Linked DNA regions of Caenorhabditis elegans. The protein of the gene in region 4 interacts with the protein of the main gene of each other region in a pairwise test. Each region holds a gene or a part of one and is shown on either strand. Other genes may lie near its edges.

Region 1 (7,314 bases), on a different chromosome or scaffold from region 4:
TTAGAATTATTGACTTCGTGCATTCAAACATATGCCATTAGAGTTTTGATCTCGAAGTGATTTTGAACTTTTGGTTGATATTAGCTTTTATAAAAGATCTCACGTATTCAACTGATCAGATACATTTGAATAAATTCTGATTCATCGTGTGTCTATTAGTAAATTAGATTTTCTTTCAGAAATTGAAAAAACTAGTGACTAGTGATCAGTGATAACTGATATAAAACATTCTTTGATGTCAATGAAAAACACTTTTCTCGTTGATTATTTTCCAACTCCTCCCATTTACTCCGGCCACTAGTTTGATCTTCAGAACGATTGACTAGCGACTGCGCCTTTTCATCTTCGTGTTGTTCTATATTTTATCATTGAAAACTTTCGGGTTGGAAAAGAGTTGCTCCAAGCGAAAAGAAGAGCAACTCCTCAAATCTCTTCTTTTCCTGTTACTACACTGCCGTTGCCTACGTGCCAACGGCCAGCAATCGTGTGTCGGCGACGTCGGCATCTCCATCGATTCGTGCCGGCTGGCTAGGCCGTCGTCGCACTCGCAGTTGGCCCATTTTCTCTCTATGCATCAGTTGAGGCTACCCGCCTCGCTCCCTTCACTCTCTATGTTCGCCTCGCCACGGCGGCTCCCCTAAAAAAACAGCGACCCTGCCCTGCCTTCTAAGGAAACAACACAACAGAGTTTGACTTCAAGGAGCTCACCGGAAACCAATGTTGCTCTTGCTCACAAAGACTTTTGAGGTTAGTAAATATTTTATTTCGTTCTTCTTTTTCTCGAAGGTCAAATGTTGTAAATGTTTCAAAGTCTTCAATTGTTTATGATATCAATTCACGGGCGGCTCGAAACTCTCTTCTCGACCCTTTCTCTAAATCCTCTGCAACACACGCACTATTTTCTACTAGATCAGAGTTTACTGACACACACACACGTTTTGTGCGTTCAGTTCACGAGAGTGCGGTGTGTGTGTGTGTTTGTGAGTTAATGTTTGTGCGTGTATATTGATGTGTGTGTAAAAAAAACAAAATCGATTGCCGTTTGGAAATGGGCGGCCCAGTGTCCTCGGTCTCCGGCCATCGAAACGCCACTCGCATTGTGAAATTTGTTTTGGGAGGGCCTGTTTGCATCACCTTCGCCCTTCGCTCTCACTCAAGATTACTTTACGTGCTACAAACTTGTGTGTGTGTGTTAGCTGCTTTTCTTCTTTTTCTTCTCAGAAATAAAAAAGGCATGCTCCCTTCGACGTCTTCTTGACAGCTTTCTTCTTTCGCTTCTCTTTACTTTTGGAGCCATGCTCATATAATCCAGTTAGTTCATTTCCAGGAAATCAAAACAGATGTCAGGATCTGGAAGTGGAAGTGGTGCTGGACATGGTGGAGGCTCCGGCGGCTCAATCCGTGAAGCAGGTGGATCACTCGGCATGATGGGCGCCACCAGAGAAGAAGAATACTTCCGAAGACAACAAAAAGATCAGTTGGACAATCTCAAGAAGAAGCTTGAAGCAGATATGACGCAAAGCCAACAGGAAATTCGGGATCATGAAAAGGTACGAGACACTCCATTTAAGGAAAACACGCAGGAAAATATTGTTGTTGATTAACTCGTTATTCTTTGATGTGTCACATGACACTGCCGAAACTCTTATCTGCGAAAGTGGCGTGTTCTAGAACTGATTCAAAATAGACCGGGGACTCCTTTCGAATCTCTCTATTTTACACAGTTGACCTTGATATGTTAGAGAGACGGGCGACTAGCGAGCATAATGAAGAGATAGATTGGTTTTCACAAACAATCTCTTTTTTTTTGTTTTCCACTACCTTTCAACGTTCTTCAATACTTTCATTTCAGGTTCTCGAACAACATCAGCAACGACTGAAGGAAATCGAGAAAGGACACGGAACATAAAAAATAGAGGGCTTTTCAAACGGCTCTCTGTTCTTTTTGCATCATCATTTTCAATTTTCCCTTTCTTTTTATGCATACTTATTCTCTCCTCTCTATTTTCTCTCTCACACCGCATTTCTTCATCTTGCCTATTGCATCATTTTTTTTTCGCTTACTGCACATGTTTCGTCAAATAGTAAACATGGTTTTTATGGCTTCACTTCATATTCTTCTCTCTTCAATTTGATTCGATTTTCATTTCGATCATTCTATTTTTATTTGTCGTTTGTATGTTAGTTGAACTGATTGTAGTAGTATCAATTTTCAGCCATGCCAAAGCCAAGTGTCGGAATCAACGGATTCGGAAGAATCGGACGTCTTGTCCTCCGCGCCGCTGTCGAGAAGGACAGTGTCAACGTTGTTGCCGTCAACGATCCATTCATCTCCATCGACTACATGGTCTACTTGTTCCAGTACGACTCCACCCACGGACGCTTCAAGGGAACCGTTGCTCACGAGGGAGACTACCTTCTTGTCGCCAAGGAAGGGAAGTCGCAGCACAAGATCAAGGTAGAATATTTTCCAAACATATTTTGTTAAACATTCTCTTAAATTTCAGGTCTACAACTCAAGAGACCCAGCTGAAATCCAATGGGGAGCCTCTGGAGCCGACTATGTCGTTGAGTCCACCGGAGTCTTCACCACCATCGAGAAGGCCAACGCTCACTTGAAGGGAGGAGCCAAGAAGGTAACTTGTAATCAACTTTTGTGCATAAATATATTTAAATTTTTAGGTCATCATCTCTGCTCCATCTGCTGATGCTCCAATGTTCGTCGTCGGAGTCAACCACGAGAAGTACGATCATGCCAACGACCACATCATCTCCAATGCTTCCTGCACCACTAACTGCCTTGCTCCACTTGCCAAGGTCATCAATGACAACTTCGGAATTATTGAGGGACTTATGACCACTGTCCACGCCGTCACCGCCACCCAAAAGACTGTTGACGGACCATCAGGAAAGCTCTGGAGAGACGGACGTGGAGCTGGACAGAACATCATCCCAGCCTCTACTGGAGCCGCTAAGGCTGTTGGAAAGGTTATCCCAGAGCTCAATGGAAAGCTCACCGGAATGGCTTTCCGTGTCCCAACCCCAGATGTGTCTGTTGTTGATCTCACTGCTCGTCTTGAGAAGCCAGCTTCCCTCGATGACATCAAGAAAGTTATCAAGGCTGCCGCTGACGGACCAATGAAGGGAATTCTCGCTTACACTGAGGATCAAGTTGTCTCCACCGACTTTGTCTCCGATACCAACTCTTCCATCTTCGATGCCGGAGCATCCATCTCACTCAACCCACACTTCGTCAAGCTCGTCTCGTGGTACGATAACGAGTTCGGATACTCCAACAGAGTTGTTGATCTCATCTCGTACATCGCCACCAAGGCCTAAGCTGTCTCATCCTACTTTCACCTAGTTAACTGCTTGTCTTAAAATCTATGCTTCTCTTTAGTATCTAAAATTTTCCTAGAAGCTTACAAGTATATAAATGGTCTCTTCTCAATAAAGGTTGTATATTTATTCATCTTATTGAATCTGCCATTTCCTCGTTTTTGCGAGTTTATATACCTTCCAATTTTCTTTCTATTGTATTTTCAACTTCTAATTTTAATTCAGGGAAACTGCTTCAACGCATCATGACCAAGCCAAGTGTCGGAATCAACGGATTCGGAAGAATCGGACGTCTTGTCCTCCGCGCCGCTGTCGAGAAGGACAGTGTCAATGTTGTTGCCGTCAACGATCCATTCATCTCCATCGACTACATGGTCTACTTGTTCCAGTACGATTCCACTCACGGACGCTTCAAGGGAACCGTTGCCCACGAGGGAGACTACCTTCTTGTCGCCAAGGAAGGAAAGTCCCAGCACAAGATCAAGGTAGAATTATTTCCAATTAGATTTCACCTAATATTCTATTCAATTTCAGGTCTACAACTCAAGAGACCCAGCTGAGATCCAATGGGGAGCCTCTGGAGCCGACTATGTCGTTGAGTCCACCGGAGTCTTCACCACCATCGAGAAGGCCAATGCTCACTTGAAGGGAGGAGCCAAGAAGGTAAATTAGTGATTTAATTTTTCAAGATAAATATATTTAAATTTCAGGTCATCATCTCTGCTCCATCTGCTGATGCTCCAATGTTCGTCGTCGGAGTCAACCACGAGAAGTACGATCATGCCAACGACCACATCATCTCCAATGCTTCCTGCACCACTAACTGCCTTGCTCCACTTGCCAAGGTCATCAATGACAACTTCGGAATTATTGAGGGACTTATGACCACTGTCCACGCCGTCACCGCCACCCAAAAGACTGTTGACGGACCATCAGGAAAGCTCTGGAGAGACGGACGTGGAGCTGGACAAAACATCATCCCAGCCTCTACTGGAGCCGCTAAGGCTGTCGGCAAGGTTATCCCAGAGCTCAATGGAAAGCTCACCGGAATGGCTTTCCGTGTCCCAACCCCAGATGTCTCTGTTGTTGATCTCACTGCTCGTCTTGAGAAGCCAGCTTCCCTCGATGACATTAAGAAGGTTATCAAGGCTGCCGCTGACGGACCAATGAAGGGAATTCTCGCTTACACCGAGGATCAAGTTGTCTCCACTGACTTTGTCTCCGATACCAACTCTTCCATCTTCGATGCCGGAGCATCCATCTCACTCAACCCACACTTTGTCAAGCTCGTCTCATGGTACGATAACGAGTTCGGATACTCCAACAGAGTCGTCGACCTTATCTCCTACATTGCTACCAAGGCCTAAGCCGCTTCAAATTCTCTAAGTCTGAAATGAATCTGTAACATAATAAATTCCACATTATTGTAACTTTGATTCTCATTTTCTTTATAAGAATAAATCTTTTAGCTGGAGTAACTAAAACTGTGTTGTTGGATAGAAAGCATTTTTCAATGGCTATATCAAATTTGAAACGTTGAATTCGAACCTTTCACGAGGTTTACACTCATTTATATTCTTCGTTGTGATTGTCCGTCATACAAACCCGATTAAGTTTCCGTCTAGCCTCTATGTTTACATTAAATTGAGAAGCGATGAGAAGTGTCCAGTGTAGAGTGCAATGTGCACTCAAAATGTCGGCACATTGTCACTTTGCTAACATTTTTCCCAGAGTCATTTGGGATACTTGTGTAGTCCCAAAAAATATTAACTATTAAGCTTAGGATTAGTGCTTTTCTAAGCCTGAATAGAAAACTTATTGGAAACAATTTTTGGTCACTTATGTAGTAGATGTATCACAATATATTTTCATAGGATAACTTTTTGTAATGGTAAACTCGTGAGAAATAATTATTTGTAGACCTAAAAATTCCAGATTTAATTTTAAAAATTTAATAATATTTTGGGGTACTTCTACTTTTCATCTACCTTTCCATATTTGATATTTCATTCGCAATTATACAATCTCAGAAAATTCCTATGGTCACGTTATTCTTTGTCGTAGACAGTTGAAAGATGAAGGAAAAAACGAGAATAGATATCACAAAGTCACGTGGCAAAATCCATCAACCTGTTGTTAGTGACGTTATTTTTTGCCTCAAAATGCGGGAAACGATGTACGCATGACTCTGACGAAGTCTGCCTGCTTCTACGGGTACACTTGAAATGAAGCATAGAAAGCTGGCTGCGTTTTTTTCTTGTTTCGCTTCACGCCGTTTTTCTTTTTCTCTTTATTCTCTTTATATTCTCTTTTGTGCGGGTGCGTTTCCAATTCCCCGGAGCCCATCTTCTTTTTTCCTCACTATTTCTTTTTCTTCTTCCATTTTGCCCTTCTCATCGATTCAGAAAAATTACTGGCTCGTGACAGAAAAGAAGAACCAAAAAAAAAAAGCATTTGGGGGCTCGGAACAAAATGAAGCAAATCCTCCCAAGTAAATGTAGTTTGCCGAAATAACGTGAAATTGAAATTCGATATTTTATAATAGCACTCTTTTTTTTTCTGCCACAAACGACACTAACTTCATTTTGTTTTTTTTTGTCGATCTGACACTGGCCAACAATAAACTACCAATGTTCGTTGTTTTTCATGTACCCAATCTTAAGTTCTAGTTGAAGAAGAAAAAAGAAAAAATAATCATTCAACTTTTTTTCCTTTTTGCATTAGCACCAGCATTTGCTCCTTTTTCTTCTTTGTCCCTACCCAGACTATCAGTCCCATAATGACATTATCGTTTTTGCGATAAGAAAATTGAATCGTTATCGATGCGCACCTTGGTGGGGAAGTAGGCCACTTTTTCTACCCACTTAGTTTTAATAATTCGCAATTTTGTTTCTTTTCTAATTTTGAAATTCAATAATTTAATCTTTCGAAATTTCAGATTACTGGTTTATATGGACCAAGACTACAAAGCACATTTCAAAGTTTTCTGCTCAGAAGTCAGAGAATGGGAAAAAATCCATGTCGTTGGAAGTTTGCCCGTCCTTGGCGAGTGGAATCCCAGAAAATCATTTCCATTAACAAAATCGACTGACGAAGAGTAAGATTTATTACATTAATTCCAGTTATTTTCTGTTTTAGAAACACTTTCCATGCAATTGTCAGTGTTCCCTCATCTATCAAAGAGTTCAACTTTCGATACATTCGAGTTATGTACCTGGATCCATCTGAAAATAACACTTCTGAGCCTATTATGGTTTTGTCAAAGTGAGTTTCTGGTTTTTTTTCACAAATCTATTGAAAATAATTAACAAAAAATTCGTTTAGATGGGAAACTTTTAACAATGCCAGAACTTGTTTGATAGGTGTGGAAAGTCAAGATGGAGTTGCTCGAAAAAATATCACAGATCAATTTGGAAGTTATAGTGAGTGTTGAAACTGTAAAACTACAAAATAATAGGTCAATTTAGGCGGAAAAACTCAAATAACCGATGGATGGATTTTGAATGAAAAAGAAAGTGTAGTGTATTTTCGTATTCATGGAGAAGCGCTCAAATTTTTTGCCAAAAGCTATGCGAACAAGGAATATCGTCTGAAAGTTGAACCATTTGATGTCAGGTACAGCGAGGTTAGTTAGATTTTATTTGAAATGAAAAAATAGACGTAGGTTTCCAAATTGAAGTTGCAGATGTTCTCTTACACGCGTAAGGACATAACAGACCGGCGTGGAGTTTGGAGGCATTCTTCTGTTTATGCCTCCATGTCTGTATGTATATTAGATGTTGTAATTGTGTTTTGTGGTATATAGTGTTTAAAAAAATTTTTAAATGGAAGACACTTACTTATTAATTTTAAAATTTACAATACCTTCAAAAATTTAGATTGATGGTGACGATGTGGTTAACTTGCCAACTCCAAGTCTTCCCTGCTTTTCCAACACCGATCTTTCCGTAAGAGCTTTAAATTTTGAATTTTTTA
Region 2 (8,381 bases), 9.2 Mb from region 4:
AATGATTATAATAATAATGACAATGGCCACATGCATGATAATAACGGATCTCAAGGCTATCCTACTCGGGTTACTGTAGATTTATTCAACTGAGAAAAAAACTAGACATAAAATGTACAATTTCTTTCCTTAAAACTGGCGCACGCGGCGGCGGCAGTTCCATTGAAATAAGCATTCAAATTGGAACTGACTTTGTACAATGTACTAGGCTATACAATTCTCGAAGTAAGGGGAGTTGGCTCTACTTTTTCCAATTTCCATATACTTACAGTGTGAACGGTGGCTGCTTCAGTTTGATGTGTTTGTTGCAATGGAAAAGGGATCTGAAAAAAAGTGAAATGAAATGAATGGCACTGAGTTGTACAACTTGACGATTGGCAGGGAGAATTGCGACAAATAAGAAATACAATTTTTTATCGAGAATTTTGGAGTCGGACCCACACGTCAATAAGTGATTTTGAGAGTTGGCAGAATAACAGTAATTTGTAGCGAAATGAATTGAGGATTGTTATGAAGGTTTGATATTCAGAAATTTAAATGATGACAAAAATGGCTTAAGAATGTAAGACGTTTTCTTGGGGAACTGATTTTTTCAAAGCTTAAGCAACTTTCAACAGTAATAAAAATCAAACTCTTCAAAAATTATACAGTACATATATTTTTTAAGTCAACTCAACAGCTACATCTGTAGTTCAAACCAATAATGTAGAAACAGTTGTCCAAGCAACAAAACAATCACGACAAAATGAACAAAAATGTGAGCTTTTTCATGAAGCAAAGATACATTACTAGGCGTGATTGACAATCAGTCAGAAAAACGAAAGATTCATGGAGTAACTACAATACTAGTCATGCTCTACTCCCCAGTTTGTATTCAGAAGGCGGACGCGTCACAGATTCTGACTAAACTTGAGAGAAGTTGCCAATTGATTGAACAAAAAAAAAAGGAAATATGGGGATTTGAGATTTTAAAAGAAGTTGAAAGACTTTTTTCAGCTAAGGCTTAGGCTTAGGTTTAGGATTAGGCTTAGGGTTAGGCTTAGCTTAAGCTTATGCTTAGGTGCAGGTTTAGGATTAAGCTTAGGGATAGGCTTAGGCTCACCCAAACACATATTGCCAAAGTCCTATACACAACTCTCCCTGCACAGTTGCTAAATTTACACTGAATGCGCAATAGAGATGTTGCCAACGTGTGTGATTTTACACCATTTCAAATTTTACCAAGGCACGGCGCCTGGTGTGAGCTCACCAACTGACGCCCCTAGCTCCAAATAGTCAGAAGTTGGACGGCTACCTCCTTCAAATTCTATTTCATTTTTCAAAAACAATAATTGTTTTTCGGTTTTTTTCTTCTTGTTTAGACGTATAAGGAAGATGCGCATTTTAGAAAAAAATATAGAGACAAGTATCGTATTACCGAGAAATATTAATCATGTTTTTGAAAATGGGCGAGTGTTCACATCTTGAGAATAAGTTATTCGAAGAGAAGGGGCCTCCAATTTAACTTTTGAATTAGTTATTACAAGGAGGCAAAACATTGGATCTTCGAGTTTTTGTTTTGTTCACTACTTACAGGTAAAAGAAGATGACTAGATGAAGCTGATGAATAGTTGAGAGGTATCCTGAAAAACACAAAAAATAGGTACCGTAGGTGTAAAAGTAATGAGTTGGTAGCAAAAGCCGGCAGAGCCCAATTGGACATCAGGCGCCGCCCCTAAGTGGAGCTGAGTTGGCAGCACCACCATGATTCAAAAACAGGAGGAACAATAGGAGCGAGATATTGGAGGATGAAATTTACATATGTGTCAGTGATTAACAACACAAAAGTAGTTGATTAGCAAGTTAATATGGTATGAATAGAGCGTGTGATAGGCACATTTGTTTGCCGGAGGAATAATTAGTTTCATAACTTTTGAAAAATTTTGCAGTTAACTCGGTAGATGGGTGAGATGGAAAGTACATAGTATTAAATTGGAATATAGATAATTTTAAGATAGTTTAGGTCAATAGAAATATTTTATTTCCCAGAAATATGAAGCAGTGAAACCAATGAGATACTTCATAAATTTTATTATTTATGTTTTTTTAAAGGAATAGTACGAAAATTTGAAATCTTCAAAATAAACCGAAATGTAACTTTTCAAAGTGAAGTAATGTAAGGAAATACAGTAACTTTTTGGAAATTTCTCTCAATCATGGTTAGAAAATTTAAAATTCTCACATTATTTTGGCGTGAAAATTTTAAGTTTAGACTTCATAAAGACTACAGTACTCATTGCAACTGAGTGTGAAATTATCAAGCAAAATGAGAGTTTATATGGGTGCGAGATTCGCGGAGTTATGAGCCGTAAAACAACTGTGAAATGAGTGAAAGTTGATGGACGACTCGAGAGATCATTAAAAGTTTGATGACCTCTCAAAAAATGGGAAGTTAATGTCGAAAAAGTGGGGGAAGAAGGGAGGAGACTCGATGATTTTTGAAGAATAATTTCATTGAAATTTGTGAAATCTTCGATGAAGCTGGATAAAATTTAAAGGGCTTCAATCTTCTTTTTAACCAAAAAAAATATAGAAGACCCGACACCAACTTGATACGTTGATAGGTTTTCAATTTCGTATGAGATTTTCAAAATTTTTGAATCCAAGGCTTAACTGAATAGGATAAGGCCATCGTTGTTAAATATTAGTCGCGATGAAAACTGACTAAGTAGGAGCTTAGCCGATTAGAAATTGTGTCGACACGTGGATATGTCCATGAGGTCAAAGTTGAAAATTCGAAATGAGGAAGTAGCTAGTACGAAATAGCAGAGTAAATTTTGACTTTGTTACTAGAAACTTAATGTTTAAAAAATTAGAGCCTTCAGTTTTAGAAATCTAAAAAATATGTTTTTTTGTGGTTGACTTCCATCCATCATACTCGTTGCATTTTTGAAGTGCTTTTTGAAGTTTGAGTTAAAAATAATTTTAGATTATAAAAATGTTCAATCAAATCTACAATTCCTCACAAAAACAGTCATAAAACCTGCTCAACTTTTTCTAGATTATTTTTTTACTGGACTTAAATCAGACGATAAAGCTAAGAAGATCATATGCTTATCAAAGATCCAGTAACACTATCGAAAAAACTCTTCGTTAACATTTGAAAAATACATTCAAAATTGCCGTTAAAAATTAAAAAAAAAATTTCGAATACGAAACCTCCACCAGAAAACAATGGGAATAACAAATCAGAGATGAGATACGGTGCGATTTTGCTGGAATAAAAACTCAACAAACAAAACAAGTTCAACTTATGGTAATCTGGTCGGGTGGATCTAGGATAAAGCTTAAAATGAAAATCTTTGGCACGATGCGGTTTTTGGAAAAAAATAATTAAATTGAAATTCATGAACTTTCAGGGGGACAAGGTAAAACTGAAAATTACGTTTTCTAGCTTCTAAAAAATGTTATAATTTGAGTGGCTTATATCTCGATTTTCTTAGGTTTTTATCAAAAAATGTTCCACTATCAAAATATAGAAAAAATATTTTGCACGTATTTTGTCAATTGACAGTTGTTTGATGAAACCATTTGGAGCCAAAACTGTCAAAGTTGAGCAAGGTCTAAGACAAGTCTTTTTTAGAGAAATATGGTATTCAAAAAGTTGAGTAATCATTTTAATTTTCAATTTTTACGCAAAGTTACTTGCACCTACCGTAAACTTAGATACAGAAACCTATTATCCAGAAAATACTTATTTTTTTGGAACAAATGAAACTACATATAGAAAATGTAAAAGTATTCCATGGAAAAAAGACAAAAGTTTTGAAAATTCAGGTGAGAAAAATGATCGAGAACGGTGAACGAAGCTGTCGATAAAGCCGAAAAGCTGAGAAAGTTTAGAGAAAATGGAGGGAAAGCGGCGAATCGTTGGGAAACTAAGGGTCCACTCTTTCCTGGTTGCCACGCCTCTTTCGTCACTTTCACCTTTGCGCCCCTGGTGCCTGCACCAAAACAACTGCCATCGAAGTAGATGGAGGTGGAGAGAGCGACGGATATATGTACAAAAGAAACATCAACGAACACTAGGGAGGGCTAAAAACAAGATTTTTTCATTCGATGGCGGATACTTGTACCAGAAAAACGAAGGAAAGAGAAGCATCAGCGAAAGTTTCTGTTACTTTATAGTAATTGGGTTGATGATGGCAAAAGAAGCTTCTGAAGCTTCAGAAGGTGAAAAGCAAAACAAGAAAACAACATAACAAGAAACTAGAAATTTCAAATCTACCACAGGCGTTGGCCTAAGTCCAAATGTGGCTCTAAGGGGGTGTCCATCTCTATGCTCTCGATATGTCAAATAAAGAGAATAAGAAGGTTGAGCACAGGAGCTCCTACTCCCGTTTTCGCACATTTCTCAATACGATCACACTCCTCACCTTTTCTTTGTGTCTATGTCATTGTGTGTACAGGCGCAGGCGGCCGGAGACGAATCCCCACCAGCGTCTTCCGCTGATTGCGAACGGTTTCAGAGAGTGAAGTGGTCAGTTGGCTGGAGCACGTTGGAGAAGAGGTTGTAGGATGCTCTGAAAATACAAATTAAGGAGAGATGAGATTTTTTGAAAACGGGGGAGAAGGGTTACGGTAGCTTCTAACATTGAAGATTTAGGTTTCTGAAAAACAAAAGTTTTAAATTTAGAGCCAAGTAAACTTTTCAAAAAATGTTTTAAAATGGTTTTTTTTGCAATCACTCATAATTTCAGATGTTGAACATGAAAATGTTCATTTCTGCATTGCTTCTATACAAGGCAGGCTCGGTTTCAAAACATGGCGCCTGCCTGAAAACTGGCTTCCTCACACCATCTTCGCGCATTTTTCTGAACTTTTTTTTAAATTAAGAAATGACGTTTTGGCGCCTACATGAACGCTCTAAACTTCTGCAACAAATTTTTGAAATTCAAATTTTTTTAAAAATATTTTCATTTGAACATTTCTTTTTTACCATTTTACCTAATCGTCAACTGAAAATTTCAAAAAATCTAAACAATTTACGAAGATTTTGTTTTTCTACCGTAACCTATTTTTTATACCGTAGCCTATTTACTCTAAACTTTTCTAGCTGAAATAAAACTGAAAAAATCTTAAAAAATTGTTCAAATACAGAGAACAGCGAAAAAAACCACCCTGTGGAGAGCATTTCAAGCAAAAATAAAATAAAAATCTGTCACAAAGCTACTATAACAAGTGACAAATTGTGAAAAATCTGGATATTATAATGGATAAAATAAGCTATCAAAAGTTGTAAACCACCATTGGATGATCCCTGGATGTTCTCAAAATCTCCATTTTTCAATCACATTTTTCATAATCTTATAGCATATAGAGCTTTGATGTTAAAAATAGTAGGAAGTTACGGTATGAGCTCTCTGGATGTTTGGAAATGCTCAAAAAAGAAATCGAGATCATTTTGGATCAAGATCATTGTTTTCTTTTCTCAACCTCCAGGCGCATTGACTCTTCTCCCATACAAGGTCGAGAGGTGGCTCCCGTTGTGTTCCGAGTTAAGCTTGCACACACCTCTCACTCTTGCTTGCAATCTATATATGTGTTTGCGTATCGTTTTCTTCTCGGGGACGCCAAGTCCTTTTTTGCGAAACAAACAGGAGACTATAACGACGTGTGAGCCTGCTGCTGTTGCGATGAGAAGAGCAAAATGGGATCGCGGGGGAATAATGCGACAATCAACGCGAAAAGTTGCGCGCGCTCATCTTCAAGCCTCGCTAAGCCCATGGACTCGATGACAGACACCAAAAAAAGCTCGATGAATGGGGGAAAAAGAAAAGGTGAATGAAAAAAAAAACAACAAACGGGAAAACAAAAATGAATAGGTGTGAACTTTGAGCAGGTAAAGATTCTAGAGAAACTAAGAAAACAGTGGGAAAATTTTCGGAAAATAAATTTGAAAACTGTAGTCTGTAGAAGTCCGATTCTTTCGAAGAAATGTAAATAATTTCAAAAGGTGAAAGTTCTTATTTTTAAAGTTTTAAATCAAGAAAACTCATAGCGCAAGCTTTAGCTTTTTTCTGGTATGTTGAAAGACACTGAAAATGTTTCAAGTCTGGCAGGGATAATACGGTATTCCAAGGTAGTGCTACCCACAAAAATCTCAAGAAAATAAACCATTCATTGTAATCTCGAAAAAGTCAGCCTAAAACCTAAATTCTAGTTCTGAAAATCTCCAAAATCCTAGACACATATCCACATCTGGTTTGAACTTCACGCAATCATTGTTCACTTTCACGAGACGCAGACCACTTCTCTCCCCCTTCTTCTATCCCACCCATTGAGCTTATTTTTTGTTTGTATAAGTTTGTTTGTTATCCGTGTGAATTACACGAAAAGACGGATTAAAATCAGATGGTAATGAGAAATAGATACGTATGGAATCTGGAAAGCTACCGTACTCTAAAATGAGCATTTGACAACTGTGTTCTCATACAGGCGGCGAACACGAAACGGCATAAATTGTCGGCGCTGGGCGATGACCATGTGCCGAGTGTTTTGGAAAAAACTTTAGCGGAACGATTAAACAAACTTTTTGGGAGGAACTAACGAGTGCCCGCATGATGCACTTGGATTACTGTATAATTCGAAATTTGAAAAAAAAAAGTGGAACACTGAGTGGACTTAGGTTTAGGGAAAATTTAATTCCGGATTTTTTTCTCAGGAAATTTTGAATTTTTCTGAAGATTTTTTAAAATTAAATTTACTAGTCTGGGTCTTTCGGCGAAAAAATGTATAGTCTACAGTCTTTTGGGCACCAAAAAGTGGCCACCAACAATCAAAAGTTTTTGTCATAAATGTCTTTCTCGTGGCGGGACCCATCTGAACTTTAAATAATGTTTCAGAAAATTACAAAACTGCGATGTTGTTCCCTCCAAAAAATGTTTCCAAATCATTGCAAAGACGTAGATTAAGCTGTAAGATGTTTAGAGTTAGGACTATTCGAAAAATTGTGAAATCACAAAAAGCAAAATTTTGGAAAAAAATAGCTGGCACTGTAGTAGATCAAACATATGATTCTTTAAAACTAACCCCGAAGCAAAAAGTTATTTCCGATTACATCAACCTAGGAAATTCCGTACTTCATAAAAAAAGTATCAATACTCATTTCCTTTCCATTTGAACTTATGCGTGAAATTCCTTAGTGAATAAGTGAAACCTATAATTGTTCAATGTCAGACCCGAACATTTTGAAATGCTTCATGAACTATCTGTGTTTTGAATGTGTTATCTACGCATTCGCAAACCAATTTCTCCTTTTTCCGCCACTTAAAAGCGAACATACGATGGCAACATCATGTTGCTTCTTTTTCTGAAAATAAGCAAAAAGAACCAGCCCTTTATACAGTAATACATAGTAATGGCATAGTTTCTTCGTTTTTGGCTTCACTTATCCGCGTCTCTTAGACAGAAAGGCAACATATTCATCCGTGTCTCTTCACAACAGGAGCGGGGATGAAGAGCGAAAACAACATGACAAGGAGGGAGAAGACGCATTAAGTGTATTTTCAGTGTGGACACCACCACCGAGATGCAACGAAGACGGTTTTCATCAGCGAAAGCTTTTGCATACCAGTTGATGACGATGAGAGAGAGACACGAACACTTATTACCATTTTACTTTCTTTTTGTTTCTTTTTGAGATGAAGCTGCGCGCGTGCTGGCGGAAGATGAAACTAGAGGGGAGTTACTGGGATAGCAGGGGTTAATGATAAGATAAGGGATTGAAGATACTAGAAATTTATATGGGGGAAATGCCCTTTAAATATATGTATTTGATTTTTTTTAACGTTTATTAAAAAGTTAAAAACCGAGAATCAAAAACACCACTTACTTTTGGAAAATTTGGCGATTCACCGAAACGTTGACTGGAATTTTTGAAACAACCTAAACCTTTTCAGAGTTTTTATTATTTTACTAGGTCCATGCTGGACCATCAAAACTGCATTTTAATAAATCACTCAAACTTTAACAGTTTTCAGTGATGCACGATGAAGTCAAATCTTAAGTGGTTTTATTGAAAACGCACTTTTTTTTCTCGAACTACTTGAACCAAAAATTGTCTGGCTGCAAGGTTTTCTGATTATCGTTCGTTCTAAACGTTAATAAATTTTCCAACACTAAAAGCTGGACAAGATTTCTAATCTTATTATACGATTTTTATTTAGAACGTCTTTAATTTTTTTTTCAATTCCAAAAAAGTGCATCCCAATTCTCGATACTTTCTAAACATAGCCATTTGACCTGCATTTCTTGTACTATTCCTTTATCACTTCTTATCTGTGGCTTATACTTTTTCCCTTATCTTTTATATCTCTTAAACCTATTCTTCATTCACTTTC
Region 3 (8,721 bases), on a different chromosome or scaffold from region 4:
AAAAACAGAAAAGTTTATATGTCTGATTAAATTTTAAGGTAAAACCGACAAAATTTTAAGGTCAAACTGACAAAATTTTAAGGTAAAACTGACAAAATTTTAAGGTAAAATTGACAAAATTTTAAGGTCAAACTGGGCAAATAATTTAAAAAAAGTAAAATTTTAAAAAATTGGACATGGTGCATCGACTTGCTACACGAACAAATTAGAAAACTCGATCAAAAGAATTTTTCCATGTAATGTGTTAAATATCGCGAAAAACCTTCAATTTTTTAACCAAAAAACACAAAAAAATTATATGTCTGACAAAATTTTAAGGTCAAACTGACAAATTTTTAATGTCAAACTGACAAAATTTTAAGGTCAAACTAACAAAATTTTAAAGTCAAACTGAGCAAAAAATGTAAAAAGTAAAATTTCAGAAAGCTGGACATGGTGCATCAACTACATAGCAATATGGCAGCCTAACGGGAAAACTAGATTCCAAACTTTTTTCATCCACATAATGTGGTTTTCATCGCAAAAATCACAAAATAAAAAACCCTGCAACATAAAAAAATGACAAAATTTCAGGTCAAAATGAGCAAAATTTTGAAAAAATGTTGAACATGGTGCATCGACAAAAGCTCCTGGAGGCCAAATTGGGAATTCTGTTAACGGGGTTTTTTCCGAGGAATTAAAAAAAATAGGATTAAAGTTTAAATTTAAATATTTGAGAATAATTTTAGGCCAAAATATGAGATCTTAGAAAGTTAGTCATGGTGCATCAAGAGACAAGTCAAATTGGATAGTATAATTTGGCACAAAAATAAATAGTTGTAGCTACAGTTTATCAAATTTTAATGTTAATTCCAAAAAAATTAATATGTACAAGGGACTAAAATTGAAATCTCAAAATTGATTAAATTGAAAACTCGGCAACTCGGCATCATGGTGCATCGATCCATAGAAAAATGTTTTTCCAAAAAAAAACATCATAGTCTAGAAAAAAGACCTCCGGCACGATGGCGGGCAAAGCATACTCGACCTTTTGGCAAGGTTTATTGGTATGTGGAGAGGGGGAGGGAACGACAGTTAAGTGAAAGGATCATCGCTTAATAGGCAGAAGACGAAGAAGACGGTGGAGTCTTCACAGAAAAACATCTCCCGCTGTGTGCATTTATTCAAATTGACAGTTTTATTCATTTTCTCTCGGGAGAAGGACTCCCCAATGAAGAGAGAGGGAGAGGGAGAGACGGGAATCTGAATGAGTAGGTATCTTAATTTGCAGCCGACACTTCAAGGGTTAAAATTTCGTAAAAATTTTGTTTATTTCAGCAACCGAAAAGTTACGGGCTGGAATTTTGAGAAAAAAAAAGACGCAGCGGGCAGCTAACGGGCTCGAATCGTTCAAGTTTGATGAAACATACGAGGTGGCAGCCGACACTGCGCGGGCCGTATTTGAGAAAAAACTTTGTAAAAACTGAGAAGCACCCGACATCTTACAGGATTGTGCAAAATTTAAATATTGGAAATCTAGCCGGAGCAGCAGACACCTTGCTGGCTCAAATTTTAAATTGTTTTGCAAAACAATTGGAAGGAGCCGACATCGGACGGGCCGAAATTGTAAAAACATGCAAAAACAGAGAAGCAGCCGACGCCTTACGGGATTCCGTAAAAATTGAGATGTGATAAAATAGTAGCAGCCGACACCTTACGGGCTAAGTAGAGTTCCCCAGTTTATATCCTTCTCGGCAACCCGCTGCGCCGCCCGCGTCAAATTGCGAATTTATTCAAATTGACAGTTTTGTTTTGTTTCCATCTCAATCGGCCCAGGAGAGGGGGGGGGTCTTAATGGCGAGAATCATCACCGTCACCTCCCCCCATAGGTATAACTAATTGGATTGGGAAAATGAGAGGGGGAATGAGTAAAACGAGGGTTGGAAATTGGGAACAACCCGACGAGAACAAAGAAGTGAAAGACACATACACTAATAGCCGGAGAGAGTAGAAACCGGTTGGAATTCAATGAAAAAAAAATTTCAGAGTTTTTTCCAAAGTTCGGGGGGAGTAAAGCCACCGACCGTAAAATCAAAGTATTTCACATTTTCATTGAGAAATTTGAATTCAGCTCATTGTGAGCTTTCAATTGAGTATAATTGGGTCTCGACACGAAGACTTTAGGCTTAGGCTTAGGCTTAGGCTCAGGCTTAGGGTTAGGCTTAGGGTTAGGCTTAGGCTTAAGCTTAGGGTTAGGGTTAGGCCTAGGCTTACGCTTAGACTAAAGCTTAGGCTCAGGCTTAGGCTTAGGCTTAGCCTTATGCTTAGGCTTAGGCTTAGGCTGAGGCTGAGGCTTAGGGTTAGGCTTAGGCTTAGGCTCAGGCTTTGGCTTAAACTTAAGTTCAGGCTTAGGCCTAGGCTTCGGCTTAGGCCTAGACTCAGGCTTAGGTTTAGGCTCAGACTACGCGGGGGAAGGGAGAGAAAAATAAATTCCAAAAAATTGAAAATTTATGAAAAACTAAAATAATTCAAGAAAAACTCCCCGCCACGCCTACCGGACCTTAAATTTTTTGCGTGCAAAGACCCTATAATCAATTACGCCTTGCTTGGGCTCCGCCACGAACACTTTCGCGTCAGAACCAAAACCTAGTAATGATTATACTTATTTTAAAGGTCTCAGCGTACTGAATTCAAAATTTTCACTACAATTTTGAGCTTTCTAGGGATATATTGAAATGTTCAAATTTTTGAATTTTTTTTTCAAAAATTGTAGAAAAAAGGCTTTAAAATACGAAAACTGTTAGCCTTGGCAAAGCAAATATTACTCATTACGCTATTAAATCATGAATTTATGTGTATATGCAAATCGGTGCGCATACACACACAGACACACAAAAATGGGAAAAGGGCGACACAATAAAAATAAGAAGATGATGAGAGGGGAATACAAAACTCACAATTTGAACCTTTTGCAGATGCTTATCCGTCCTTGTGTGTAGTTGAAAATTGGCTTTCAATGTGGTATTATACGGGCACAAGTGGCACCGGAAGCTCCCGTTTAGGACGGTAACGTCTCCTTGGAACGTCCTGGAACGGTCTTGTTCCACGTGTTCCATCATTTCGGCGATAGATTCGGTGGCGAAGATACCGCAGATCAAGCAGACCAGGGATCCGTCGGACTCTTCGATTGGACTACTTCGGCTAACTGGAGCACCACACGCGAAGTTGGCTGCGAATTCTGGAAAATTCAGGATATTTTTGAATTAAAATAATAAAAATCTTAAATCTGAATTCAGCTTAAGGCCTTTCAAATAAGTATAATCATGACCCATTTGGGTCCCACCACGAAAACACGGGATTCTGGTCTTCCTCATGTTTTAAAACAAAAATTGAGCCGCGACACGCAACGCGCCGTAAATCTACCCCAGATATGGCCGGCCTAGTTCGGCAAAAACTCTTCCATTTCAATTTATGAGAGAAGCCAGAAAACTACAGTACCCTCTCCCCCATTTTCGTGCCGAGACCCGGGAAATTTGGGTCTCGACGCGATTTTTATTGATTTCGATCTAAACTCAATTTTCTCAGTCTTTTCAAAATAAAACCAATTTATTAAAAAAATCAGAAAAGTTAGGGGCTTTAATCCAAATATAATCACGTCCATTTTTGGACAAGTGGGTCCCACCACGAAAACTACAGTACCCTTTGAGTGTAAGACCCACAGAACGTCAAATTAAAAAAATACTGTAAAATCGAATTTAGCTCACTGAGAACTCTAATTTGAGTATCATTTTTTAGGGTTCAAAAAAGTTGGCGTAAGTGTTTTTGCGTGGCGAGACCCTAGAATCGAAAAGTTCGAGTTCAACAGTTAAATTCTTGTGAAATTCAAATTCTTGGGTCCCACCACGAAAACTACAGTACCCTTCGCCTCCCCCCCCCACCTACCTATACTATTCGGGAGCTCTTGCACTGCATGAAGATGCTTATCACTTTGCATATGAATACTCAAATTGCCCTTTGTCGTCGTACTGTACCGACACAAATCGCATCGATATGGCTTATAACCGCACGAGTACGTCTCACCGCGAGCCAGCTTCGGGTGGGGACGGTTCTCGGCACAAAACATGCACTTGACATCCACATCGTTGTGCTTCTCCTTCATATGAATTTCAAGGGTCTCCTGGTACTTGTAGTGCCAATTACACTTTGGACATTTCAGCGTTTTCGACGAATTTCGGAGTGATGAGAATTGGGAAATGTCGGCGAACGCGCCGAGCGTCGGATCGAACGGAAACGAGGAGGAGAGGCTCGCCTCGTCGAAGCCTGACGCGGCGAGAATCCGTCCCAGCTGACATTTTGTGTTTTCGTTGGCTGAAATTTTTCGGGAAATTGCGGAAAAAATTTGATCTATGACCTACCAAACATCTGAGCCGTCGAAGGATCCGTAAGAAGTCGCATTATCTCCGCAGAATCTGGCATCATTGGTGGTGATGTTTCTGAAAGAGAGAACTTTAGTTTTTTAGTCCTATGGAATGTGGTTCTTCCGCCGCGGCTGACACTTTTCGGGCTCCACGCGCGGCACTATACACGGGGTTCTGGCCTTCCTTATTGAATTTTTCGCGCTCCATTGGCAATCGCCCGCCGGTCAACGCGTGGGCAAGTCGTGCACTCCACACGGACAAATACATTTAGTTTTACAACTAAAATCGAGCCCAGATGTGACCGAGCCAAGATGGCCTAGTTCGGCAAAAACTCTTCCATTTCAATTTATGAGGGAAGACAGAAGGCCGTGACTATACAGAAGGCGCGCCGCGAGTTAGGCGGAGGTCGCCGCAAAACTGGAGCAGCAGGCGTTTTGGAGGCCCTAGGCGCGCGCGGAACCCTGTACATGTCGGACCATGGTATCAGTTTCGCTATCTCTAGTGCACATTTAAAGCACATATGTACCTCCATCTTGAGAAAGAAATTTCATCTTGCAAGGAATCGAACCCCGGACCTATTGTTTAGAGCTGAAGCGTGTTAACCACTAGACTACAAGCGGCGCGACATGATTCTGGCGGTACTGTAAATTAAATACCACGACAATGCAAATGCGCTCTAGCGACGAACTCTAGTTTCAGAAAGCCAGGAGGTTCAAGGTACACGTGGTGTCAGAGTATGATCTACGTAGATCTACAAAAAAATGCGGGAGAAAAGATTTAAAAACTTGCTTATGTCACATTTTTTGGGGAAAAAATCCCGCATTTTCTGTAGATCAAAAAGCAATGGGACAACCTGGCACCACGTGAAGGTAACGTACCTTTGAAAATGATTTAAAAAAAAAGAAGTCTTGGCCTAAAAATTATCGGTCCCCCGGCCAAACTCACCCCTACTCTCCGTAGACTCTGAACTTGTCGGCGGTTTGTTGTTGTCATCCATTGTCAAAAGTGCCACGTCCATTCTACCATTTAGCCAATATATGGGCGGGGCAACTCTGGAAATTTTTTTGGATGAATTTGTGAGGAAAAAGTGAAAAAAAAATTTAAAAAACGCGAAAGTTGGAAAAGTGGAAAGTTTGAGAGTGATTTAAAATCTAATGAGTCGCAAATGAGAGAGAGAGAATCGGGGCGGGGGGGGAAGCGCGGAGCTCGCCCCACCACCACCACATGTGCTTGCAATTAATTAAATTTTCGAGGGAGCGGGGAGCCCAGGAGAGCCATCCCCGGAAGCTAAACTTCATAAACTTCAAATGAGCACTGAGAGTTGAGTTGACACCTGTGTTGTGAATGAATGTGAGGAGAGGTATTCGGGGGATAGTTACAACAACAATTACACAACACTGACAGGGGACTACGGTAACCATATGGAGGAGCTGGAGGAGCACACAAAACTTGAGACAATGTTCCCCGCATATGTTAGGGGGGTGCCGACACTCTCAGAAAAAAAAAACGGGGGACACTTTGTTTCTAATGGTGTTTCGCGTTTATTGGGTGATCATTGTGGAGATTCACACCTGCAGTTCTGACTACTGATTCATAAGATCACGGGAGCGGAAGCAGCAGCAGCGCAAGGGGTGTAAGAAAAATCATAACTTTGGGGTATGAAAATGGGATAAAGGAAACGGCAACGACAATTGTAGAACGAAAGTCGGAGGCCTAGGCAGGCGTGGCCTCAGGGCCTGATGCCTGCATTTTGGCATGAACTTACAAAATTTTGTAATTTCCGTATTTTTATCAATTTGATGAAAAACATTTTAAGAGATAAGGCTCGGATTGAGGCGAGAGGCAGGCGGAGGTCGCCTTAAAGTCAGGCAGGCAGGCAGAGAACGTCTGAAAGTCAAGCAGGCAGGCGAAAGTCGCCTGAAGGTCAGGCAGGCAAGCGTTTTAACGCCTACTTAAAAACCCTATTCAAGAGCTAGTTTATGAAAACTTTCTTCAAAACTCAAGTTTTACAAATTTTCTGAACATTTTTGAAACGAAAAATGGTTTGAATTTTTTAAAGCTGATTCTGTATGATCTACGTTTTGAGAAAAAAAATTTAATTTTTTCGGATTATTTTTTGAATATTATTTTAAATTTTATAGCAACTCTAAAAATTCGATATTTTTACAGATTTTCAGAAAAAATAGTAATTGCAAAAATTTTTAAGCTTTTTAAAAATGGCTTAGGCTTAGGCTTAGGCTTAGGCTGAGACTCAGGCTTAGTCTTAGGCTTAGGCTTGAACTCAGTCTTAGTCTTAGGCTTAGGCTTAAGCTTAGGTCTCAGCTTCGGCCCAGGCTTAGGCCTAGGCTTTGGCTTAGGCGTAGGCTTAGGCTTGGCGTCAGTGGGGGAGCGTGAGCTCCCACACTGACGCTATTTAGGGTTATTAGGCTTAGGCTCAGGCTTAGGCTTAGATAAACAAACATTTTTTTAAAATAAAAATTTAAAAATATTTCACTGAAAAACTGTTCAAAAAAGTTAAAGAAAAACGTTTTTTATCTGAAAAATTTTTTTAGGCTTAAAACAACTTTTTTGACTAATGTCTATTTTTTTTTGATTATATTTACAAAAAAAATATGGCTGAGCTCAAATTTTTAGGTCTGCAAAAAAAAGGATCCCCAGAAAAAGTGAGAATGAAGCGTGAGAGGAGCAATAAAATGGGCGGGGCGCCACACGAAGAGCACCCTCGTTATAACTGGCTGATTAGGCATTTGAGAAGAGGAAAGTTGAGGGAAGATGATGGGTGTGGAAAAAGTGAGGCGTGGCCTATTTTATACATTGGTGAATCTGATTATTCGGAAGGGGCAGCGCACGACGAAGAAATTTCGACGCGCAAATTTTGAGCAAATAAGAAGTAGGAGAAGAGGGGGCCCCGAGAGAGGTAACACGTTTAAACGATGTGTCGAAAACCCGACACAAAATGATTATGACTACTGTAACTGTGTGGGGGCCAATTGAATTGTGAAGCAAGTAAAATAAGGGGGGGGGCTAGGCCTAACTAGGGGCACACACACACACAGGAAGAACACGGCGAAAATAGGTTAGTGAATATATTAGTTGGTTGGCTCGAATTTGAAGAATTTCTATATTAACTTGGTCTATGGACTTTTCGAATTGGTGGCTGACTAGTTTTTTTTAGGCCACGCTGCACCGTAAAACAGACCAGAAACACGTCTGGGCAAGTGGTGTAGTGGCTAACAGGGATGACTACTGATATGATGACCGGGGTTCGAGCCCCCCAGTCATTAGTTTTACGAAGACTTTGTATAGGAATTTTTGAAGAGTCGGAAGTCTAAAAACCTTAAAAACGGTCTAAAATTTTTTTTTTGAAGTTTTAGCAATTTTGGCGCAGTGGCTAACAGGGATGCCACCTCAGGGGTTCGAGCCCCCACCAGTGTCAATAATTTTTGCGAACTCTAACTAAGATTTTGTATACTGTAAAACCAAGGAAAATTTCAAAATTCAAAATTTTCAGTTTTAGAAACAAAAAAGTGCACGGGGTTCTGGCCTTTCTCATTGAATTTTTCGCGCTCCATTTACAATCGTCTGGCGGACAACGGGGGAAGTCGTGGACTCCACACGGACAAATGCATTACAACTAAAATCGAGCCGCGACGCGACACGCAACGCATCTGGCCTTGTTCGCCAAAAACTCTTCCATTTCAATTTATGAGGGAAGCCAGAAATCTGTGAAAGTGGAATGTTCATAACTTTTTAGAAAATTTTTACAAAATTTGATTTTTTTTTTCTAAATCTAAATGATCCTTACTTATCGTTGTATTCAAAAAAATAGACAAAACAAAAATCAAAAATTGCAATTTTTGGTGTACTGGTTAACAGACTACCAATCTCAACACCAGGGTTCAAGTCCCCATTGAGGTCAATAGTTTTTTTGAAACATGTTATAACAGGAAGTTGTTCAAAAACATAGTAAAACCCCAACAAAAAAAAAAGATTCCGTGAATTAGCTAATTACAAACAAGCCATTTTATCGGAATTTTACGAGCCCACGGAGCCCAGATTAATTATTTGAGAGCGCCCCTCTCCCCCGCCTTCTCTCTTCTATTTCTGTTTTCACAGACCCCTCTCTTTGACTAATTGGCACCTATTGGATGACTTCAATTATTATTAACTGTCATTTTGTTTTTAGTTGATATTATATATTCATACTAACTAATTTCTAATAATAATAATAATAATAATCATAATAACAAGAAATATAATACAAACATTGTTGTGAGGAGGCCCCCCCCCCCCCCCAAGTAGTTGACTTGTTAATTGGCAGCGA
Region 4 (7,369 bases):
GCCCGTAAACCCAGAAAGGAAACCGAAAACTGTAAGTTGTGAAATCCCCGGATTTAGCTACAATAGTTTATTTTTCAGACAATTCCTCCAGAGCTCCTTCACACCATCAGTGTCAGCTCGAAGTTATTGAGTGCCGATTTTGGAGACGTTTTCTCCCGACAGGTGGATCAAAAATTGTAAGCAACGTATTTTCTATTTGTATTTCCAAAAATCAATAATTTTTCAGTTCGAACGCAAAAACATGAGCAAGGAAAAGGAAACTTCATCACACTGATCACTGGGACGAAAACAACTGGCTAATAGACTTAAATTTTTTCAACCTTTTTTTTGTTGTTATTTTTGAGATTTTCGTTGTTAGAATTTTGTACTTATTTTTCGATTTTTTCTGTAAGATTTTGTTAGGAATTTCATCACAATTAGTCAGATTTTCTGTAAATTTCGTGACTTTTTTGGTAATTTTTGTTTTTTTAGTTTAGAAATAAACAATATTTTTAAGAAACAATCGTAATTTGCGTTTTATATGGTTAAACGGTAGGAAGGGGAAGGAGCGGGCTGCGAACTGCCATTGCTGCAAGACAACGCAGGCATCGCCTCCAAACCACACAGGCAACGCGTTGAAACCACGCAGGGACTGGCATTCTTGAGCGTGGTTTGTACGCGTTGCCTGCGTGGTTTGGAGCGGCGCCTGCGTGGTTCGGTTTATCTGAGAGTTCGCGTTAGGTTTTTTGTGTTGCTTCAAAAATTCATGCTTTGCATTAAATATATGCTTGAGGTATTGCACGTAATTGAGGCAAAACTGACCTTCATCACTTCTTCTAATTGCTCTTCTTGTTTTAATCTGAGCATCTTCCGCTGAAATAATTTTTTGACATAAAATGTGTCGGGTGCGCGATCAAGAAGTTTTTGCGGTCCAATTTTTATCATTACTTATATATTTAAAAAAAATGGTGGGTCTGCCCATAGTTTGCAGTCTATGTAGTCGTTGTAGTGTGCAAAGTTATGGATTAATGAAGGGATTTTGGTTTGGGGTTAATGGGGAGACTGCAGTAGTACTGTAGGATTACTTTAGTTTAAGAAAAATTGATTGTTTGTCTTCATAGGGATATTGGTTTAAGACCAATGGCGGATATGGTCGGGGTACTGCAGTAGTACTAAAGAGGTACTGTAGTACTGTAGGATTACTGTAGTTTGGGAAAATTGAAAATCTCAAAAAAAATACAGTTTTTTTGTTACCTCCGCTTGTTCCGTCTCCATCATCTTCTCGCTGAAAATCACCAAAATTTTAATCGACAAATTTTTTTTCGACTTACTGTTTTTCCAAGTTTTGCAAAAACAACAAATATTTAACATTACTTTCAGAATTCGTGTTTTCCTGTTAAAAATCAAATATTTGAAGGGTTGCTGGTCAAAACCAACCAAATTTATTTTTGAAAGGTTTTGTAGAGCATCTAAAACTATACATATTTACAACAAGAACAAACAGAGCACAAACCTTCGTCATTTTTTCGAGCAGTCATAGCTGTGTGCTGAAACATAAATTATCACAAGGAAATAAGTAAACATAATGTTTGGAAGAAGAAACGCATTAGAATTGCTTGCTCTCACTATCAGTTTTCCAATTTGAGCCCCGCCCGTCAGACTGAGTATCAAGACCGGAAAATTTAAACAATATTTTGAAATATGTTGAAATAGCTGAAACTGAATTTTTCAAAATTATCTACAAGAAGTTCTCTACCAAATTTCGAGAACGTAAATAAAATGTTTTTGAAGTCAGTATGCTCTAATCAAGAGCAAATGAATAAACAGTTTCCTTATCAGTTGAGCCTCCACTATTCAAGTAGAGACTTTCAGAGAAAAACAAAGAAAAGTGGACTGAAGCAATCAGCATAAATCTGGAGGCCCGGAAAAATCTATAAATTCTTTTTTTCATTAAAATTTCAATAATTATTCATGATCTGGTTTTTTATGTTTTATGTTCTATCATTGTTTTACGAAGCTCGCCCTCACACGTCTCTGAAATCGACCGACTTATAGAAGGTGTCCAGAGAGATGAAAGTCGAATAAAGTATTTTCTATTGAGATTCCGAATTTAAAACAAAGTCTTGCCCGATTTGTATGGATAAAATCATTAATAACACACTTGAAATTTTAAGGAATTTTCAAGGATACATTAAAAGACTTGAGATCATTAATACTAGAAGCTTGGATATGTGGGCTCTTTGACATTCACGAGTACAATTTGATGTAGTTCTTTCTCGGTATCGCCTTTGATTTTTGCAAAATGCACGTTGAAGGCTCTAACTTTCTTTCCATAAAACAAAATCATTTGGTTATTTTTTTTTCAACAGCTTGCGGTAGATGTGTGCAGACTGCAATAAAATCCGTGTTGTTCATCAACTCCGCCAAATCAATTTGCAATCTCTGTAATGTCAAGGAATAAACTTTGCTAATTTCTTTAATGAGATACCAATAAGAATTCAAATAGTATTGGAGGTATACGAGTATCGTTACTCATAAACTGTTCGAAATCGCTTCGAAAATTCTCAAATTCTCTCATAAAACTTCATATTTTATGTGAAAATCAATGAAAATTGTGTATTTTTCCCCAAAAGGCACTAAAATGCAATGTTCAAGTGAAAATTTATGAGAAATTATTGAAGAATGAACAAGGATACCATTGGAGTAATCGAATATTTGAGGTGGCTTTCGCAAACAAAAAGAAGGGGCGCCATTTTACAACAACAACATACAACAACTGGATTATAGTTAATATCAATTGAATGCAGAATCGCGCCGCTCATCCACCAGTAATAAAATCTGTAAAACCTCTTTTATAAAAAATTATAATTTTCCATGATCAGGTGTTGCAGAAAAAACGCTTTTTTCAGTCTTTTACACGGCTAGGGACCTACAAATTAACATGTAAACTTAGATGTTATTAATTAACATGTAATCCGTAGTGAAAAAAAGAACACCAGGTGTTCCCCGTGACCTTGGTTATGTTTTTTTGTTTATTTAAGGTCTTTCCACTTCGAGTCTTCTGCATCAAAATTGAAAACAAATGAATTATGCCAGAGAGTAATTTATTTCAAAAAAAAATTCCAAGGATACAAAGTTCAGGAAACACTAGGTTAAACGAAGCTACAAGAGACATGGTTAAGATTCTTGTACTAACAGTTGGTAAATTCAGCCACTACAGTAGTGATTTGGTCAATTGAACATGAAATCTTTTGATAGGTGATTAGGAACCCTGGTAGTCCGTGGAAGTCCCCTCCAAGCGATCGTCAGCCTCATCCTCCTTCTCTGAACCATCACTTTCATCCTTCTCCTCCGTCTTCTGACGTCTTGGAAATCCTTCCTGGTAGCGGCAAACCTTCTCTCTAGCCATATGGTAGTACGCTTCCAGCTTTTGGGCGGTATCGAAGATCTGAAGCTCCGCAGATCTCGAGTACTCCTTCCAGGTATCCATTTGGGCCTCGGACAGGGTACCCGGCTTCACATTGGACATGATTCCCTTGTAGATCTTCTCGATGAGTTCGCTTCGGTAGGTTTTGGGGACTTCCAGGTGCCAGATCTGGTCGTGTTCTGGTTTTTTGGGCTCCGCAGGGGTGGTGTCTGAAAGAATAGGCCGATTTACTGAGCCGGTGGGGTAGAATCTCAAATAGTTACCCTGAGGAGGAGCAGTCCGCTGCTCAATAATCGGCTTGCACACTGGGCATTCCTCGTTGAAGCATTTCTTCCAATGGCTGAGGATGGTGCGGGAGGAAGCACAGTGGACCGCTGGAATTTCAGGGTTTGTGGGTTTTAGAGGAAAGACCTATGCTTCGGCTTAGGCTTAGGCTTAGGCTGAGGCCTAGGCTTAGGCTTAGGCTTAGGCTATGACTTAGGCTTAGGCCATGACTTAGGCTTAGGCTTAAGCTTAGTCTTAGACTTAGGATCAGGCTATGATGTAGGGTCAGGCATGGGACCAGACTTACAAGGCTCAGGGTCATTTCAGCCTGCTGAAACTCAAGCGCGGCACCGTCTAGATCCTTTTAGCAATCCTTCATCTATTTTCACTCACAGTTACACTTGGGTCCTTCCTTGCACGACGTCATATGCTTCAGCACCTCCTTCATGATCACACAATCCTGAATCTTACACATTGCATGAGGAGCCGGCTCGTTCTTCTCGGCAGCTTCACGGATTTTCTGTAAAATATTTCTTAGAACCCCCGGGAGCCCAGAAACTCACAATATCCCGACGGACACACTCGTGGGCGTGAAGCAGAAGCCCTAGTTGACGGGAGATCAGCGTGTTCATCGTGGCTGTTGAGACCCTGGGTTGTTGCTGGACGTTATCGGAGGTAACACAGATTCGGAGATTGGAGAGGTCCTCGACTGAAAGGTTCAGGCGAGATTAGAGGTGCGAAGGATCGTAACTTACTAAGCGCTTCCTCAAGGGATTCCGACATTTCTAGAATGGGTCAAAAGTTGGAGTAGAACCAGGAGATGCTGAAAACGCAACGAATTTCAAATTTTAAAAGAAAATTTAAGGAAATGAATGAAATAATTTGGCACACTTCTTTAAATACACCAATTGGCAAAGTATCTGGAACCAGTGTCACGCTATGAATGAGCTGTACCAAGCCCACGCAAAATTGGACACACATACATTGATTTTATTCAATATACACAGTAAATGTATAGGAGTCTCAGAGACACAGAGCGGGAGACCCCCCCGGCACCGGCTTGTGTTTCTCAATCACACATTTTCCCATAAAAAGTGTGTTGCGTGATATGTATCGCAATTTTGAACGAGTTTTTGGACAAAGTATCTGGAACCGTTTTGAATGACGGGTGATAATGTGGAGCTGGCCCACGCATGGCGTGTTGGAGCAGAATGATAAGGACCGCGAGCCCAAGAGCTTTGTCTGTGTTGGAAGGGACCATAGCTTATTAGGGGCTTGAAGCTGTGGGCCCGAAGCTGTGGGGCCCGTACGTGTGGGGCTAAATCTTCGGAAGCCTGTAGCTGTAGGGGCAGTAGATGTGAGGCCGTACTTTTTGGGCCATATCTGTGGTTCTCGTTCCTGTGGACCCCGTACCCGAAAGGACCATGTCTGTGGAGCTCGTGTAGGGACCCGTACCTCTTAGGTCCCGTACATGTGGGCCCGTTCCTGTGAGGACCATACCTGTGGGGGCCCGTACCTCCTGGGTCCCGTACCTCCTAGATTCCCCGCAAGGCCATGGGGGCAATTGTGGTGCAAAGGGACCAAAGCTGTGATGCTGAAGCCGACTAAGAATCTACTGAAAAGGTTCTTTCAGAATTTTTTACTTTTTTCCAAATACTGAAGTTTCAAGTAGCCCTTCACCCAGTTCTGAACAAAATTTTTTTTTGTTTTTTTATTCTACTGGTTTTCTATACTTTTTTTGAGCAATGATATAAAAATGTCAATTAACATAAGAAAAAGTCATTGTAAAGAAGTCCTTAAAATGAGAAGTATTGCAATTTGAGATTCTGTGAAGCTGGCGATCATCAGTCTGTGGAGCCCTGGAAGTCCTTGGAAGTGCCTTCCATATGATCAAACACCTCATCAGGATCTTCCTCTGAAAATCTTCCATATTACTTAAATTACACCTGACTAAAAGTCTACCTCCAGCCCCCTTCTCCTCTTTTTGTGCCTCCTGGCCAGGGCCCTCAGGAGCTTTGTCCTGCTCGCGGGGAGCTCGCTCCTCAACCATGCGGTAGTACTCATCCCTACTCCCCGCTGCTTCAAAAATCTGAAGCTCAGCAGCCCTCGCGTCCTCCTTTATCTTCCAAATTGGCTCGAATCTTTGCGGATGGAGCATGATGTGTTTGGAGATTCTCTCAATAACTGCCTCTCTATCGGTTTTCGGAACTTCACTGTGCCACGGTTGTGAGGTTCCTGGAGGTCTTGGCTCGGGATCCTTGACGATAGGAATTGTGCTCAACGCGTTCATATTCTGTGCAGTCCTGTGTGCTCCACAAATCGGGCATTCCGCATTGGTACAGCGTGTCCAATGGTGGATGACCATACGAGACGAAGTGCAGTGTTCGGCTGAAATTGAAGGGATAAGGTTACTATTGGGGGGGGGGGGGGGGGGGCTCTTCTGAACTTACAGGGACACTGAAACCCATTCCAACACGTCATCATATGCCCGATCACCTCCTTCATCGTGGAGCACTGCGGAACAGGACATTGCTCAGCGATCTGCAAAATCAAACTAGAGAATCGAGTCTTTAGAAGATCCGAGATATCTGAACACTTTTCAAGCTTGATACCTTTGCTGACTATAATTGGAAAATGCATGCTTCTCAGCAGACTTTGTACCTGGATTAGGAAGCATTGGGCTTTAGGAGCGCGCGGCCAGGAGCCCAAGGCGCTCTATAGGGAGTCAAGATCACAACTGGGACGCTAAAGCCTCCATCTCGGCCCCCGCACACGCTCTAGAACTCCTTAAGCAAGTTGCACTACAACCCTGATACAAAGTCCTCAGCTGATTTTTTCCAATTCCATGCTAGCTCGCAGAGATACAGAACTTCTAGGTTTTCAGCTCAGCCTATCACGTATCCCTCATGCCAAATGACTAAGTTCCCCAGTGAGTCTTTCCAGTAACTCACCTGACATCGTTCGGCGTGGAGCATGAGCCCGAGCTGGCGGGAGAGAGTAGATAGCGCCAAATCTTCTTCGGAAGGTGGTTGTACGATGCGAATGTTGGAGAGGTGTAAGGCTGAAATTTATTAGGTAATTAAAAGGAAAGAAGGTAAAGACAAACTTTGCGGGTTCTTGGGAATAGTCATCGGATCAGTAAATTTGGGAAAATCGCAGAAATTTTAGGCCAGAAACAACTGATTTCGAAACTGTGTGAAGGTTCTGAGAGACTGTAAATTAGGAGGTCACAGAGATGCAGAGGGCCCTGGCACCACCCCCTCTTTCTCTGCTTCTCTAAGGGTGTCCCGCGACAGATGTGAATGTTATGGCAGTTAAGGGGTCAGAAAACAGGCCCGAAACTTATAGACTACAGGCTTCTACCATTAGATTGATCTGGGCGAACTCGAGCTCTCAGACCTAGTTGAGCAAGCCGATCCAGAGATTCTGATCCTAGCAAATATTCGATTGGAAATTTGGGGCAAATCCACATGACTCAGAGTCCACAAAAAATTTCTTTGTAGAATTCTATGGGCTGATCAGAATCCAAAAATGATATCAGAAAAATAATATCATATCTATGAGATTCAAACTTGGAAAAAACAAGAGAAGAGTCCTTTTACAACTTCGAGAGGGTACTGTAAAACTGGAGACGGTTAGAGATAACAAGATAAACATGGAGCGGAGGGGGGTAGGTGCCGTCGACTGATGGGCCAGGCA

Evidence for each region.
Region 1: the proteins of C29F9.5 (region 4) and gpd-3 interact in a two-hybrid assay, tested with the Caenorhabditis elegans proteins (one large-scale study listed by BioGRID).
Region 2: the proteins of C29F9.5 (region 4) and fozi-1 interact in a two-hybrid assay, tested with the Caenorhabditis elegans proteins (one large-scale study listed by BioGRID).
Region 3: the proteins of C29F9.5 (region 4) and zfh-2 interact in a two-hybrid assay, tested with the Caenorhabditis elegans proteins (one large-scale study listed by BioGRID).

Annotation. Positions count from the first base shown.
Region 1 is NC_003284.9:3,109,592-3,116,905, reverse strand, and holds gpd-3 (Glyceraldehyde-3-phosphate dehydrogenase 3), read left to right. Parts: upstream 1-3,564; 5' UTR 3,565-3,584; coding exon 3,585-3,824; intron 3,825-3,873; coding exon 3,874-4,002; intron 4,003-4,049; coding exon 4,050-4,706; 3' UTR 4,707-4,815; downstream 4,816-7,314. Other genes in the region: mai-1 (ATPase inhibitor mai-1, mitochondrial), read left to right, coding at 1,341-1,550, 1,853-1,909; gpd-2 (Glyceraldehyde-3-phosphate dehydrogenase 2), read left to right, coding at 2,219-2,458, 2,508-2,636, 2,683-3,339; gpcp-1 (Putative glycerophosphocholine phosphodiesterase GPCPD1 homolog 1), read left to right, coding at 6,291-6,436, 6,478-6,603, 6,664-6,761, 6,807-6,964, 7,025-7,102, 7,218-7,286.
Region 2 is NC_003281.10:9,277,968-9,286,348, reverse strand, and holds the start of fozi-1 (Formin-homology and zinc finger domains protein 1), read right to left. Parts: upstream 4,569-8,381; 5' UTR 4,416-4,568; intron 1-4,415. UniProt on the Caenorhabditis elegans protein: Acts redundantly with hlh-1 to promote body wall muscle cell and coelomocyte specification in postembryonic mesoderm progenitors, probably through suppression of sem-2.
Region 3 is NC_003279.8:800,096-808,816, reverse strand, and holds the start of zfh-2 (Zinc Finger and Homeobox), read right to left. Parts: upstream 5,450-8,721; 5' UTR 5,416-5,449; coding exon 5,343-5,415; intron 5,018-5,342; exon of another isoform or gene 4,945-5,017; intron 4,473-4,944; coding exon 4,395-4,472; intron 4,348-4,394; coding exon 3,922-4,347; intron 3,218-3,921; coding exon 2,937-3,217; intron 2,399-2,936; exon of another isoform or gene 2,158-2,398; intron 1-2,157.
Region 4 is NC_003281.10:114,640-122,008, reverse strand, and holds C29F9.5 (histone acetyltransferase), read right to left. Parts: upstream 4,500-7,369; 5' UTR 4,454-4,499; coding exon 4,426-4,453; intron 4,380-4,425; coding exon 4,234-4,379; intron 4,191-4,233; coding exon 4,064-4,190; intron 3,781-4,063; coding exon 3,670-3,780; intron 3,616-3,669; coding exon 3,242-3,615; 3' UTR 3,095-3,241; downstream 1-3,094. Other genes in the region: C29F9.12 (uncharacterized protein), read left to right, coding at 1-31, 79-176, 227-274; pals-24 (DUF4200 domain-containing protein), read right to left, coding at 802-852, 1,234-1,264, 1,311-1,372, 1,417-1,448, 1,493-1,517; C29F9.6 (histone acetyltransferase), read right to left, coding at 5,515-5,585, 5,633-6,058, 6,121-6,211, 6,622-6,731, 6,777-6,801.